Styela clava: one gene and its partner. The protein of the gene in region 1 binds, or shares a complex with, the protein of each later gene. Links are inferred from orthologs where the notes say so. Each region holds a gene or a part of one and is shown on either strand. Other genes may lie near its edges.

Evidence for each region. The genes of interacting proteins can lie anywhere in the genome.
Region 2: putative RNA-binding protein 15B (region 1) and N(6)-adenosine-methyltransferase catalytic subunit METTL3-like share a complex: the UniProt entries of both Drosophila melanogaster proteins name them as parts of the WMM complex. The link is inferred for Styela clava from reciprocal best matches to the Drosophila melanogaster genes nito and Mettl3.

The regions. Positions count from the first base shown.
Region 1 is NC_135258.1:21,866,992-21,874,506, reverse strand, and holds the start of putative RNA-binding protein 15B, read right to left. Parts: upstream 3,016-7,515; 5' UTR 2,881-3,015; coding exon 2,783-2,880; intron 566-2,782; coding exon 1-565. UniProt on the Drosophila melanogaster protein: RNA-binding protein that acts as an associated component of the WMM complex, a complex that mediates N6-methyladenosine (m6A) methylation of mRNAs. M6a modification plays a role in the efficiency of mRNA splicing and is required for sex determination.
Region 2 is NC_135263.1:8,553,736-8,561,489, reverse strand, and holds the start of N(6)-adenosine-methyltransferase catalytic subunit METTL3-like, read right to left. Parts: upstream 3,011-7,754; 5' UTR 2,601-3,010; coding exon 2,507-2,600; intron 2,419-2,506; coding exon 2,231-2,418; intron 1,951-2,230; coding exon 1,378-1,950; intron 980-1,377; coding exon 871-979; intron 752-870; coding exon 537-751; intron 394-536; coding exon 206-393; intron 1-205. Other genes in the region: DNA topoisomerase I, mitochondrial-like, read left to right, coding at 3,756-3,839, 4,216-4,343, 4,649-4,694, 4,831-4,883, 4,962-5,037, 5,254-5,310, 5,481-5,649, 5,775-5,896 and 5 more. UniProt on the Drosophila melanogaster protein: Catalytic component of the WMM complex, a complex that mediates N6-methyladenosine (m6A) methylation of mRNAs, a modification that plays a role in the efficiency of mRNA splicing and is required for sex determination.

The DNA.
Region 1 (7,515 bases):
AGGACTGTTGTGGACACTGTAACTTTTTCCTTCAGAAGCCGGAGACAGAGATCGCCTTCTAGGTGATGGTGCTGCATCATACTGAAAAGAGGGTGATCTTTTGCGATAGTTTGGTTCACGTTCTCTAGTGTCAGGAACCGGCAATGGTGAAAGAGTCCTTGTCTTTTTTTCTCGTCTCTCATACACCGCTTCAACAGTAAGTCGTCTGTCATACATCACCAAATGTCCTTTAGCATTCTTTGCATCATTTGCACTACCAGATGATCTGAATGTTGCATAAGCCACACGATCTCCTCTGTTGTCTGTAGAAACCTTGACAGAAACATCTCCAAATTTTTTGTATTCGTAATATAGACTTTCTTCTATGTCGACATCAGATATCTGTGAGCTGAAATTCTTCACCAACAAGACTTTGTAACTTCCTCGACTCGGTTCTCTTCCTTCTCGTCTTCTATCATCACGATGAGGTGGTGGTGTAAATCTCTGCGAAGGTGAATATGAATCTTCGCTCTTCCCATAAGCCGAATTTCTCCTCCCAACATTCCGATCATCTCTGTGATGCGGGCTATAAGAGATAAGATACAATGTTTCATAAACCTAACCTATTATTCAGCCAGTAACTTCACAGAAAGACACCTTTCTCAATATCTCAGTGTTACGAGCTAGGTAATGGTTTTTATTAGGTGTTTATGCATTTTTACATCGTCTCAAATTTGTTACCAACGAATACATTTTTCAAACTTCCACAGTTATCATATTGCATACTAAGGTGCAATAATTTGTTACCAGTGAATACATTTTTCAAACTTTCACATTTATCATATTGCATAGTAAGGTGTTCATAAACCTTTATCTCAATCATAAGCGCACACACTGCAGAAAACCCGTTTCCACAGCAAAACAGGGAAGTATAATTTCAATACTCCATTTGCTTAGAATTAAGGTGTTCATAAACCTTTTTTCCAGATAAAAGAGCACTGTGCAGCATAACAACTGCTCACAGTAAACAGATATAAACCTTTTTTATTCAATATTCCAGCTCGTTGAGCATATTAAACAAATTTAAGCAGAGATAATTCCCAGTGACTTTGATTGGTCAGTAAATATATCACTTATGCGCTTTGAGTATGAAGTGTAGAGTACTTTCAGCGTAGTGCAGAATACACAATAGAAGTATACACATTGCTGATGACTCTTTGGTAGCAAAACAAATCTTCTTACACAACATTCACTTTTTGCTAAATATAAATATCTCCAAAGGGACGTATACAAGAAAAACAAGTTCTGTCATTTGAATATGCATCACTTTATATGTGATGAACAAATTCATTAATCTAGAAAAAGCAAAAGCTGTATCGATCATAACATATAATGGGTATATTGTTTGTAATTGTGATCGCTATAGGACTTAGAAGCATCAATAGACATGATGCTATATGAGCATGTTTTGTTATATTATTGAATAAATAAGTGTAAAAGAATTCATTAATCCCAAAAATTCGAAATTTTTACTGTAATAAAAAATCTTTATTCGTGGTGACGTATAGATAAAATGATACCAACAATACCGTTCTGGATAATGAATTACTTTTAAAAAGCTTAAAAATCGTATCTGCTTCAACTATTGATTTTCTCATATTGGGGGGTATGTTGGCCATGTAGCCTATCTAGTTTTGATATATAAAAATTGAAAACCTAAATATAAAATTACACCATTCCTACCAATACCAAATCGATTCAGTCAAATTCCTCAATTTTCTATATTTGTAAGTTGGTTGCTTTCATATCATATCTATGACTGCGAATGATGTTTCTTAGTCATTGAACTACCATATATATTTCAATTTCAGCCCCAAAGGACAACCTTGTTGAGTAATTTTCAATAAATTTTAGAGAATACTAAATAATACATTTTGAAAAACCAGGAAGACCAAACTTAGATTTTTGTTTTGACTCCTTGGATATTATGAGCCAAATATAATATTGTATACTACCTAATTCTTGTCTGGTTAAAATTATGAAAATTAGTCAAGCGTGATTAATTCATCACATCAAAACAGCACAATATCTATTTGGTTCAAACAATTTAGTCATTTTGGGCAAATTCAGTCTGCCAAAAACAACATTATCATGGAATTCTGCAAATTCTTGAAATACATTTTGAACCACTTTATAATATTCTGGAAATATTTGACTTTTGTACCGTATTGCCGCAAGAGATTTCAGGATTTTAGAAAAAAATATCAGATTCAATATTTAGACTACAATTCTGCAATTAGATTCCGAAAAAAATATTCAAAAACGTACCCAAATGCGAGAGGCCAAAGGACCAATTAGGAATAGCATCTAACCGAAATATTTATTATATTTATATGATTACAGTTAATGACAAGCAAATAATGAAATAGATAAGGAATGGGCCAATAAAAACAAGATTTATTCAAGTACCGTAATATGAAACCTGAAGTCAGCGATGCCTAAACTTCACCCAGACAATTAGGATATGATTTTCACATCTATCTCGCTCATTTCAGTATTTACCCTGCAGTCTTGGCAGCCTGGGGACAATAATCAATCAGTCAAAAGACTGATACCGGTACGGTACCGTACCGGTACCAACTGACCAAGCAGTGTGGTAATGTACCGGTATACAATATTCTACAGAACCAACATCTGAACATTCTGGTTTGCATCAATAGCAACGCTCAGACGCTTGATATGGAAAACATTAATGATAACAAAAAAGAAGCTGAAAGCCATAATTCAGCAATAATATTCGAACCTGCTGTGCCGGCTGTAAGTTCGGCGGGTTGGACTACCATTTCGTACTTTCGAGCGTTTATTTCTGGAAGGACTGTCTTTTTCACCCTGTCGCTTCATTGTTAGAGCCACGTCAAGCAATATTTAAGCAAACTCTATAAAGGTATGACCAACAAAGTAATTTCAAGAGCGCGTGTAGAAGACAACGTAACCACGCCCGGAAGCAAGCGAATGTCACTTTGAGATCCACTGAAGTCACTTATTTATGGTTGCCAGATAAAGGATTGAAATCAACAGTAGAGTAATACCCTAAATCCCAAAATTCGCATATTGTACATTGAAAAGTCACAATTTACTGGTCACAAAAATAATGAATTGCATGAATGAATATTATCATATACAATAAAATAAACAAATCATGAAACAAAAACTAAATATATCGGTAACTAATTTTTATTTATTTTTTGTTTACTATCAGTATGTAATTTATCGCATTAATAATTCAAATATTTTAGGTGAGTGAACACGTCGTTGTCGTTAGTCGTTGGTGAACATGTACCAATCATTGAGGTGTATATACCCTCAATGGTACCAATTCTAATTGAAAAACCTTCTATCCAATGGCGTGCTTAGAGGGGGGCGAAGGGGGCAACCGCTCCGGGCAGCACGTTGTAGGGGGCAGCAGAACCAAGCTGTAGAGTTTGCGTTGAAAGCTGACATTATGTGTTTAGTAGGGATAGGCCAGGATTCGGATCCGGACTCGGATTCGAGTTAAATCCAGGCATTTTTTTGACTCGGATCCGATTTCGAGTCCACGTCATTTTTACTGAGTCTATAATCAATTCTGTTTTTATTAATTTACGCGTTTATTTGTAATTTTGCCTCGACGAATCTTACATACCTTAACCCTTTCTATGCGATTTTTATTTTTTATTAAATAATCGTATTTGCTACGCCGATTTTATGAATTTGTACCCCCACAACTAATCGATCGACTAACGAAAAACTAATGATCCTCTGCTGCCCACTGACGGCTCGTTGGAAAGCTTATTTAAAGAGCTTGCAATTAGCAAAAAAAAAAGTTTTTTCAAAAGTGGTGGTCTGAGTCACAAACCGGATAGAAAAAAGGCTTTTTTTTCTTGGGAGTTGAAACTTCAAACCGTGATAAAAAAAATAGAAATATTCGCTAAATCCTTTACTGTTACCACTTCGTGGTTAGCAAACAATAGCATAATATTGCTGTAGCAATTTCGTGATCTAACTCAAAATACTTTGGTAGATGGAAGGGATAATATGTCTTCTATTACCACCCAAAAAACACCGAAATTTGCATAAATTTCAAAAACACTCCCTCGTTCCGCCGCAAATAAAATTCCCGTCGTAAACGAAAGCGAGATTTACCGTCGCTTATTTTAATCTCGAAGAAGACTTCTTATCAATAAACTAAAACCCGGAAAAACTAGACCAACAGTTTGCGACCGATTGCTAAATAAAACTGTGGAGTACATCAACGTACCCGCCGCAATCTAGCTTAGGGTTGCCATACCATCCGGAATTTAGGATTAAATTTTGCGTCCTGAAAGAATATAAAAAAAATGCCCAAATGTCCGGAATTTTACTGCATCTGCAATCGTACTGTGAACACTGCTAATGCAGAACATTGTTTATTAACTAGGTAAAATTCAAGGTCAGATCTGTATCAATATCGCCCGTGTGCATTATAAACACTTCTAATAAAAAACGACGACAAATATCCAGAAAATATAACACAAGTTTAAAACTATTGACCGATTATAACAATGATGTTGCGCCAGGCGCCTTCAAACTATCTATCCTTTTTCGTATACATGTGGTACACAATAAAATATGTGTTAGCGCAATATTTGTGATTCGCGTAAAATTGAAACATACTCTGGATCAACCCAATGGGGAATCTCATCAATACCTCTTTTAAATCGAGTTTATTACATGCAATCCTTTCTCTAAAAAGGGAGCAATGAAAAGCATGGAAGCTTAGAACGTTTACATGAACTACTAAATTGCAAGCAGATGTACCACATTGTATTGACGACGAGTGGCATTTCTCTACCATTTGTGCACGTGACATGGTAAATTTACGGCTAGAAATATCTGAAATTATGGGAAAGCATTGTAGTCAAAACTCAAAAGCTTTTTATTTTTTCATATTGACATGTAAGAATTTCTGAATAGCCGCCCAGAATTGACGCAAGGTGGTGGGCTGGAAATCCAGTTCACAGCCAAGGCGCACATTGACCCACGTTTACGTTTGTATTAAGACCGCAAAAAAAAAGGAAAAATGTGGTTCTAAAATGGTTCAACAGCTATTTACGAAACCTTTAGGCAAAAAATATGAGCTACGATCAGTGTCCCCTCTAAAGTGTGCGCGCGCACACAGCTTTCAGGGGCCGCGCACACGCATAGATTTACTGCGCACAGACGTAAATCGATGTAATGTAACAATGTTCTCGGTTGGCAGGTTGAGAAAGTTTGTTGTTGGCCCACTTATTACCCGGTTAGAACGTCAAAATTTCTTCATTGGTTTTTGCACAAATATTAGTCATTTCCAAAAAAGTGCGCACACACCAAAATTTCTGCGCACACATAATACAAAAAATTAGAGGGAATATTGGCTACGATGTATGTTTTAGAGATGTACCGATGTATCGGTATCGGCAATATCGGTAATTTTTTTGGTATCGGCCATGTATCGGTATCGGTTAGATTAAGACCGATATTTCCGATATATTCACCTTTTTGATATGGTCCAGAGTGTTTTAAAAGATAAGTTGGAATACTACTTTTTAATTTATTTTTTGTCTGGAGAGATCGTGAGCTATGAGCCATACATGTCCCTACCCCCGCGAGAGAATAGGATTCACGTGTTTTAGCTATTTATCAGCCAAACTAGCTCAACTAATTTGGCTATTTTCGCTGTCAAATTTTCATATTGACATTTTTAATATTACATAGTTTTTATGAAGAAATATATCAACACAGCACATAACAAAAACTAGGCGCCCAGTTTTAAATCATACAGTGGAATTGGGGTCCTTATTAACGGCACATGGACTTTTGGCACGGGTATAAATTCTGACTGTTTGTCGTCAAGTACGAGTGTCATTTAGTCCGTCGACATCGATAAACTAAATTCCGACACAATTATCCCACTACACAGGTATTAATTTTAATTCTGTTTAACTACACAATTTCTTTATAGATATATTGACATGACCGCCTAGCCCTAGACTGTCTCAAAATAAAGAAATTGTAAAATATTATAAAATTAGTAAAGTAAAAAAATATCCTCGACGGTTATAGGTGGGCCTTCTTTTTGTCGGTGCTGTTTGTTATTCTTTCATGTTGGCGTTGACGATTACGATTAGCCACTAAATAAAACATTTATAAAATACTTTTAATTTGAACGTAGAACGGCGGCGCTAGAATGTGTGGGCGATATTCGATATTCGTTTAAACACGAATAACGATATTCGAAGGTCGCGATATTAACATTAAATTCAAATTGGACATCCCGGCTTATGAGTTTTCTAATTGAACACCGAGATTACTAGCGTTACTGTACAATGTATCTTAATCAGTTAAAGCATATGGATACTAAACATTAATTTCATATTATGTGATATATCTTTTTTTTTTCGATCTGAAATAATGTGTACTATGAACAACGCTCAAAGACTATTGTTTTAACCCGTCTGCCCTACTCAGCACACCTAATTAAGTAATAATTACATAGTATCGGTATCGGTAATATCGGCCCTTTTGTAGTATCGACGTATCGGTATCGGCGTTTTTAGCTGGTATCGGATCGGTATCGGCGACAAAAGTGGTATCGGTACATCTCTAGACTATGTTTGTGAGCGCACGATGCTTTAGCATGGTCAAAAACGTGTTTTTCTCTCTTTATGTTGTGACGTCACGGACTCGGAGGATTCGAGTCCATGACCTATTACTCGGACTCGTCGAATCCCGGAGTCGTCCCATCCCTAGTGTTTAGTATTGTTTGGCTGACTGTGGTGATGATGAGTTGACCCCAGAAAAATTCTTCCTATCTTTTACAATTGCAACATTTTTGGTGCTCATTGTAAAGGTGGCTACACGAGTACTTAAACTATTTAATAATTTCTGAAACATTACCAAAAACTAAAAAATAACATGCAAAAACGCGAAAATGAGGTATAGTTTACAACCATGGCAGAAAATCTGGATGCGAAAACGTCTACTTTTTCCAACTTTTTGCATTGCATGTTGTTTATTACTCGAAATTAAAAAATTAATAGCTAGTTGCAAACGATCTTTCTCAAAGTTGAATGCCAAATTAGCGCCTTTCAAGTTTAGATCTGATTAGCATCGAAAGAAATTCTTGACAAGCGAGGTGGAGGAGGCTGTCGTTCAGACATTTGTTGACAGCAAAGTAGCCACTGGACATAGAAATAAGTGACTTCCATTTTGTTAATGAGTTCCATTTTATACGAGCGAGTTTATTGCTCAGTTTGATGATTTATTCAATAAAACAAACGTTTTTCTCTTACTTGACCTTTAATTTATTTATTCTCATGTATAACAACATATATAATCTGTTTAACCCCCAAAATATTATTTGAGTTAGGGATAAGGGGCGTCATAGTCAGAAACTCGCCCCAGGCAGCAGAAAAGTTTGGCACGCCTCTGCTTCCATCTTATATTCTGTACGTTTTGAACGCGGTCTAATGTTTTTGT
Region 2 (7,754 bases), on another chromosome or scaffold:
GCATAAATATGAAGGTATATTGAATCATTTGGTCAGGACTTAGAGTAATAGCATGGTTGCACCCTTACCTCTATGAGCAAACAACGAAACACTTTAAAGAGCTGATTGCCTTATGAAATGCAATAAAATGAATATTCTTGGCATTTTTTGTAACATGATTAAAGACAAGGGCTTTAAATTTACAATTATTCATAGATACACTCACCTTCCTGTTACCCATAAAAAGAATAGGCCATCATCAGATAGATCTTGTATTCTTAATGCTCTCATTTCATCATCTTGCATTGTACCATATGGTAACTCCATGTGAATATCCCATGGCGGATCAGCCATTATTACAGAAAATTTTCCAAGCACTGACATATCAAGATATCTGATGTCACATGTTACCCACTAAAATGAACAAAAAAGACTTGGGAGGACAAATGCCACTTTCTGTTATATTGTCTATGTAAACTTCATAAAATAAATTTTGATCACAAACAGGATTAATATAACTGTCATGTACGATTAAGTTTGCTCGAGACGAAACCAACCTGTGGAGGAAGCATTTTCCTTTGCAAATAATCTTCATCGGATGCAAGTTTTGGCAATAGTTTATTATCTTCATTTGACTCGGTTCTTTTCTTTCCTCTTTTTTGATACCTTGGGTCAAGTTCTGTCCCCTTGTAATCAATAGTATAATGAACATATTTGCATGTATCCATATGAAAACAAGTGTTGAGGAAAGAGCAGTCTCCCAGTGATTCATCTGAATGGAAAAATAATCTTAAAATTTGTATGGGAAATAGATTTCTCAATCGCCATCATTTTTGTTATAACCACTATCACGCAAAATTATCTCTGTCATTATATAATTACTGTAAGCACCTGTGTGAGGCTTTATCAACTTCTTGAAGTGCAATTTACTGCATGAATAATTGGATTTCCGTTGCCGCATACATTCAAACCGTGTACCATGAGGACAGAATTCTTTAACCTGTATGCAGAATTTTTTTTTAATCTAATCACATGTGCCTCAGTAGTAAAAAGAGTATAGAATTTGAAATTTACGGAAGACTTTGGTATATGTATGTAAAAATTCAGTACATATCACAGCAAACTGCTAGTTTTTACTAGAAACCTGCCACAAAGAATTCCAGCTTGATTCTACGGGTGAAACAGTATTTGAAAATGTGACTTTGTTTAGCAATGCGGTATATTAGATTTCGCCCCATTGGCTGACTAAGCATTTGCAGGATTAAAACAATTATAAATCAGTATAGTATTGAAATATAAGATTTCACTAGAGCCATTGGATTAACCCTCCCACCTACGTTTTAGGAGTCAAAAGCCAAACCAATCAAAATAATAACAGTTCAATAACTCGATATGCACCTGTGAACCACCAAGAGTTCGGAATTTTTCCGCTAACGATAATTCCTTAGTGGAGGCAGTGCCAAGTAGTTCTTGAATTTCCTCTGCGATTCGTTTTGTGTCCTGTTCTTTCGCTGATTTAGTTGACAGCAATTCTTCTATATCATCCAAGTCTTTCTGTTCATTATTTTTTCCAGACTCATTTGTTTTTGAGGATTTTTCTGGCCGTCTCGTATCACTTCTGTGCTTTCGGTTGTGATTTGAATCAGACGAGTGGCGCTTCACAGCCTGTTTTTGCTTTACCAGGGAACTGTCTTGATTTTTTTCTCGTTCACTAGTTTGTTTCTCAGAGGCAGACATGTTTGATCGAATATCTTCTTCTGTATAAATTGGTTCTTTCATTTCTCCAGCTACTGCAGCAAGTTTGGCATGGCTCACAGACAAAACGGTTATTTTTGAATCAGTTTCGTTTGACTTATCTACACTTGATTGAGAGTATTCAATTTCAATAAATCGCTGCGCTTCTTGCTTGTTCAAGAGAAGTTCAACTTGAGGCAAAGTTAAGGATGTGGTCTTTGGGACGCTTTGGAGAATCTGAAAATAAAAATAAATTGTATCGATATACATAAATAAATCGAAAGTGAAACAACCTTGCTAGAAGAAAGTCATGGGAATATGGATTTAATATTAACATTATATAGTATTCAAATACACAACTTTTTCGAATTTTCACCTTTGCTGCACGTTTCTCTAAAATACCATACCTCTGTACCTTTGTATGTATAAAAGTTTAAAAACTTATGGCATTCTCTAGCGCTTCAAATACTGAGACTTTTAGAAATATATAGAGGCAAATAAAGTATCATGTTCACACCTTATTGAATCCAGACATTATATTGAGAGAATGCATTGGGAAAGTGAGTGAATGGTGACATAGATATTGCTGAAATTTTTTCTCAATTCCTGGGTCAATAACGTCAACATTTTCCTCTGTATCTGCCACATCTGATGAATTGCTTACTGTCGATGCTGCAGTAGAATCTGCAGTCTGTGCCAAAATTTCTATAAAAACAGACAAACAAAATGTGTAAAATTCATGAAAATAGTAATCACTCAAAAATATCCATCAAGTCTTGGAAGGAAAACACACCTTTATGGCCCTGTCTTCTTCTTTGTATTCTTTCCCTTAAACTTTCCTGTTTCATTTTCAGCTTTTGTAAATTTGTCCAAGTATCAGAAGACATTGTTCTTGATGAGAGAGAAGATCCACAATGTTATTAAAATAGCCAGAAGGTTTATGCTAGTGGATAAGAACAACTAAATAATTCAAAAGATATAGTTTGAGGCAGTGTATAGGACAATTGCACCACTAGCAAGCAAGTTCAAAACATATGAAATTATTGTGTATGGACATCTTTGAATATATGCTTTATATTCTTCATAATATTACTGGGAATTGTGGTGACAGCACTCTGTACTTGAGGTCTGATATTCCATGGTATAAGTGGGGAAAATCTATGGGATTTTAATAATTCTAACTAACTGTGAAATGCATAAGTGGTTAAATGTCGTCAATGCGTAAAAAGGAAGGTTCGTAACAGAAAAAATCGAATGTGTTTGGGTTTATTGCATATGTAAATTGGCGATGAAACAATGCGGTTTGGTTGCAACGTGAAATGACTTTGATTTCCCTGCATGTACATATGACCACACGCAGCAACATTGAAATTTATCTCAGAATGTTAGTACGGTGATTCGTGTTCACTGCGTGAATCGACAAATCGCGTTCATAAAACTACAAGCGCACTCACGCCAACTCAGCGCACATCTGAACGAAAACATAGGTTTAAACTCAGACAAAAGACTCTAACTTTTTTCTCGCGACACCCGTTTGCGTAACACAGGCAAAGAAAAAGGTAAAGAAGCTAAGTCTGTGCGCATGCGCAGACGGAAATTGTCGGACTTGTTCTTTTTTTTGAACGCCATTACTGTCTTCTGGTTTGCCTTGTGTGGTTCTTCGTTTGTCTGCTTTGTTGGTTACGACTCCACTGCCTTGAAGTGTATAACTACGAATTTGGTTTCATTACTCATTGGAGTCGTCATTCAGTTTTTGAATCAAGGGCAACGACCAAGAAAAAAACTTTGCGAAGTCATTTTCTATTGATTCTACAGACAAGACAGACGCTGATCGTCTACTATTCACTGTTAATATTAGGTAAGTTATTCGAAAATAGCCCTACTGTCAGTACCCGTACTTTATTAGCAAGGCTGTGAAATAGCATATGTTATTTCTATATTTTTAAATGTTTTGTTACTTTTTAATGGGTTTATGACTGCATTAGCAATGACTGAATGATCTTTCAATTATAAAATTTAAAATCCTTTTTAGTTTGCTTTCCATGGAACTCGCACACTCCTCAACAACACTGAATGGTTCATCACCACAGAAATTACATTCGCCTCACAAGCATAAGCATCACAAGGTTGAATTTATTTTTGATATATTGTTCTCTAAATTTTGTTTGTTTTTAATAATTAATATAATTCTTTAATGGGACTGGAAGATATTTAAGGTAGGGTATGTAATAGAAGAGTTTTGAAATATATGAAATTGATTTGAAGTGACAAGCTCAGATTTAATGATATCTTTCAATTCATGAATACCTACTTCAATATTCTATAAAATGAGTAAACCCAAAATAAATAAAATATGCAGCGAAATCAAATGAAATCCAAATCAATTGGAATATTTTATGGCTGTGATATATCACTGCATGCCTTATTAGATAATTGTATTAAGAAATAATCTAGACAAGTTGTCCATGCACCTTATTAATAATAGTCATTTATTTTGTTCAGGATAAAGATCGTAAGCACAAATATGTACTTGATTCAAATGGAAAACCAAAAATTGGTCCTGATGGGAAAAGAATAAGAATTAAAAGGGAGCACCGACCAGAACACCATACTGCCAATCATGCTGGAGAGTAAGATCTTTTAAATTGAGTTTCTTGCTGATGCTTTGTATTAATTGAATCCAGTAAATTATATCACTCATTGCATTATTAGTTGAATTATCTGCAATCAATTCTATCTCGTGAAAGTAATCTTATCTTGGTCCATGATCGTCATATAAATTTTTAGTGTTTTCTTCCCTGTTTATACTTTTCTTTTTTCATAGAGTTGAATTTGGTTTTGATATTTGCCAATAAAGGGGTTGGCACTTTCCTACCCTGCCCTCAATCATATCTTGACTTGCAATTATTTAACTCAGATTTTGTTTTCTTTTCAGTCAAGGTGTTATGCAAGTTAAAACAGAAAGAATGGATTCTGGAGAGGTTAGTAATAGGGGCGGGCAACCAAAATTTTATTTGGAAAACACTAAATTGTATTTGGCATTTTATTTTTCCAATTTTTGTATTAAATTGCAATTTATTTATATCATACCGTAACAACTTTGGAATTCATTTTTAGCCTCATCAGAATTCAGGGGTTACTAATCATGGAGATAATGAAGAAATCAGGAGGTATGTGTTGAAAATTCATTAACCAGAATGATATATGTCCAGATACATCAAATATAATTTTCATGTCAACAATTATAGAATGAAGAAGAAGTTGAAAAAGGAAAAACATGCCAAGAAACGAAAAGCTGAAGAAAATGATGTGAAGCCAAATATTGTAAGTCAGGAAATGGTCATTCGATATAGCCTTAGTCTGTTTTACGCTTAACATTACCGAAATCTCAGTTTATTTTATTGCCCGGCTCCTTCAGTATTGTAACATTGTACAACGTTGGAAGAATTGATGAGAAGTATTTGGTTTAGTATTGATTTGATATTGATTATTGATATATTTTAAAATAAATGTTATGTCATAATGAATTTTCTATTTTAGAAAAAAGTTAAAACGAAGGCCGAACCTTCCTCTACATTGTCTAGTCCGACAAAAAAGGTGAGTGTTCAATTGTAGACTAAAAGCAACGTCTTTATATGGTCCAGAATGTTAGGTTCATTTTTCTATGGCTCTCTCATATTGGGGGAAATGCATTATGGCATACATGTGTATAAAAAAGGTAATGTCAAGGATTGGTACAATATTTAAATTCTGTTAATTTCTTCAAGAAAACAAAGAAAATGAAAGAAGAGGAGGAAGCAGCTTCAAAGTGGAAGTGGTGGGAAGAAAAGAAGGATACTGATGATGGAATTAAATGGAAAACTCTTGAACACAAAGGACCAATGTTTGCCCCTGAATATGAACCTCTGCCAAGTTCTGTTCCTTTCAAATATGGCGGTAAGAAAGTTTGGAAGCAACAACTCTGCAGCAAATCATAGCCATTATCACATATATTTTATTTTTAACCTCAGTTTGTGCCAATACAATAAGCAATACTTGATGTTTCATCAATGCTTTTGTAGGGAAAGTGATGCATCTCGAACCAGAAACAGAAGAGGTAATGACGTTCTATGCTAAAATGTTGGACCACGATTATACTTCGAAAGAAATCTTCAATAAAAATTTTTTTCATGACTGGCGCAAGGTTTGTATTGAATACTTTTAAGATAGATGGATAGATCAAATTTAGATTAGGAATTCATGCTTCTATCAGCTTTTCAAAGTTTTATAATTTAGTGAATTTGAGATAGTCAACTTTACTTTGATAATTCTCTCTTGTTTGGGTAATTTACACCTGACTATGTATTATTGAATTGATGACTTTTGGTGAATTAGATAATGGAGATTGACAGATGACTTTTGGTGAATTAGATAATGGAGATTGACAATTGCATTTTATTTTTTTCAAGGTTATGACCAGCAAGGAAAAGGAGATTATAACAGATCTAGGTAAATGTGATTTTCGGGCCACAAATGAATATTTTAAAATGAAGTCGGAAGAAAGAAAAGCGAGGTCAAAGCAAGAAAAGCAGGTTAGTTGTCTAATTTTGTTTATATAATCGGACCTCCAGGAGTATGCGCGCCAAGATGGCGCAATACCTGAACATAGTATGTGTTTACCGGCTAGGATTCAGGTTGTGCGACATCTTGGTATGCATACTTCTGCAGTACCATAATATAATCACTATATTGAATGCTTTTAATGATCAATTCTCTTTATTTCATCACAGAAAGAAAAAGAAGAAAAAGATTTGATTCAAGAGGAATATGGATTTTGCATGTGGGACAATCATAAAGAAAAGATTGGAAATTTCCGATTAGAACCTCCTAGTTTGTTTAGAGGACGCGGGGACCATCCCAAAATGGGTAAAATTAAAAAAAGATTGCAAGCCAAAGATATCATCATAAATTGCAGCAAGTAAGTTTGTTTAGTCCCATTTACAAGCAAATTTTGGAATTCAAGGATCATGTAAATGATAGAAATATTTTGGTTGTTAGAACGATCAAGTGAAATATATTCAGCTGTTAATCTGTGTTTTAATATAAAAAATAAATTTCATGAAACTTTTTATAATTCAAGTTGTTCTCTTGTATGCAGAGGTTCCAAAGTTCCATCACCTCCTCCTGGACAGAAGTGGAAGGAGGTCAGGCATGACAACACTGTGACATGGTTAGTATCATGGACTGAAAACATACAAGGACAGAATAAATACATCATGCTAAACGCTAATTCAAGAATCAAGGTGATTTTTTTGCATTAAAGTCTTTAAAGAAAATATAATAGGTTTTTCTGTGGAATTGAGAGTATGCATATTTGATTATAATGCAAATTTTCACTTTGTGATTTTGTTTGTCTTTGTGATTATAAGTTGTTCTATTCTAAGTGTTGTTTACTGATAAGAATGTTTCCTATTGTTTTGGTTGTATTCAGCTTTGTGTAGTAAAGGGATTGTTATTTTTATAGGGTGAAAAAGATTGGCAAAAATACGAGACTGCCAGAAAACTTAAAGATCGCGTCGATAAAATCCGACAAGACTATTGGAGAGACATGAAATCACAAGAAATGGCAATAAGACAACGTGCTGTGGCTCTATTTTTCATCGACAAGGTTTGTGTGTGGACAATTAAAATTTTGGAGTTTTTATGCAATAATTTTGATTCTGATATATTATCCTTCATTTAGTTGGCGTTGAGAGCAGGTAATGAAAAGGAAGAAGGCGAAGGTGCGGATACTGTCGGTTGTTGCTCACTCCGATGCGAACACATCAAAACCCATAAAATGCTTGACATGCAAGAATATGTGATTGAATTTGACTTTCTCGGAAAAGATTCAATCAGATATTACAACAAGGTTCCTGTTCCTAAACAGGTATTGTCATATTATTAAAATTAAGATGCTAAAGTCTACTCACTCATTACTCAAATTTAGACTTCATTCAGTAAGAATCGTGATGATTTCAGTCAAAAAACTGTGCAGCAATATAAAGAGATTGACTGTGACT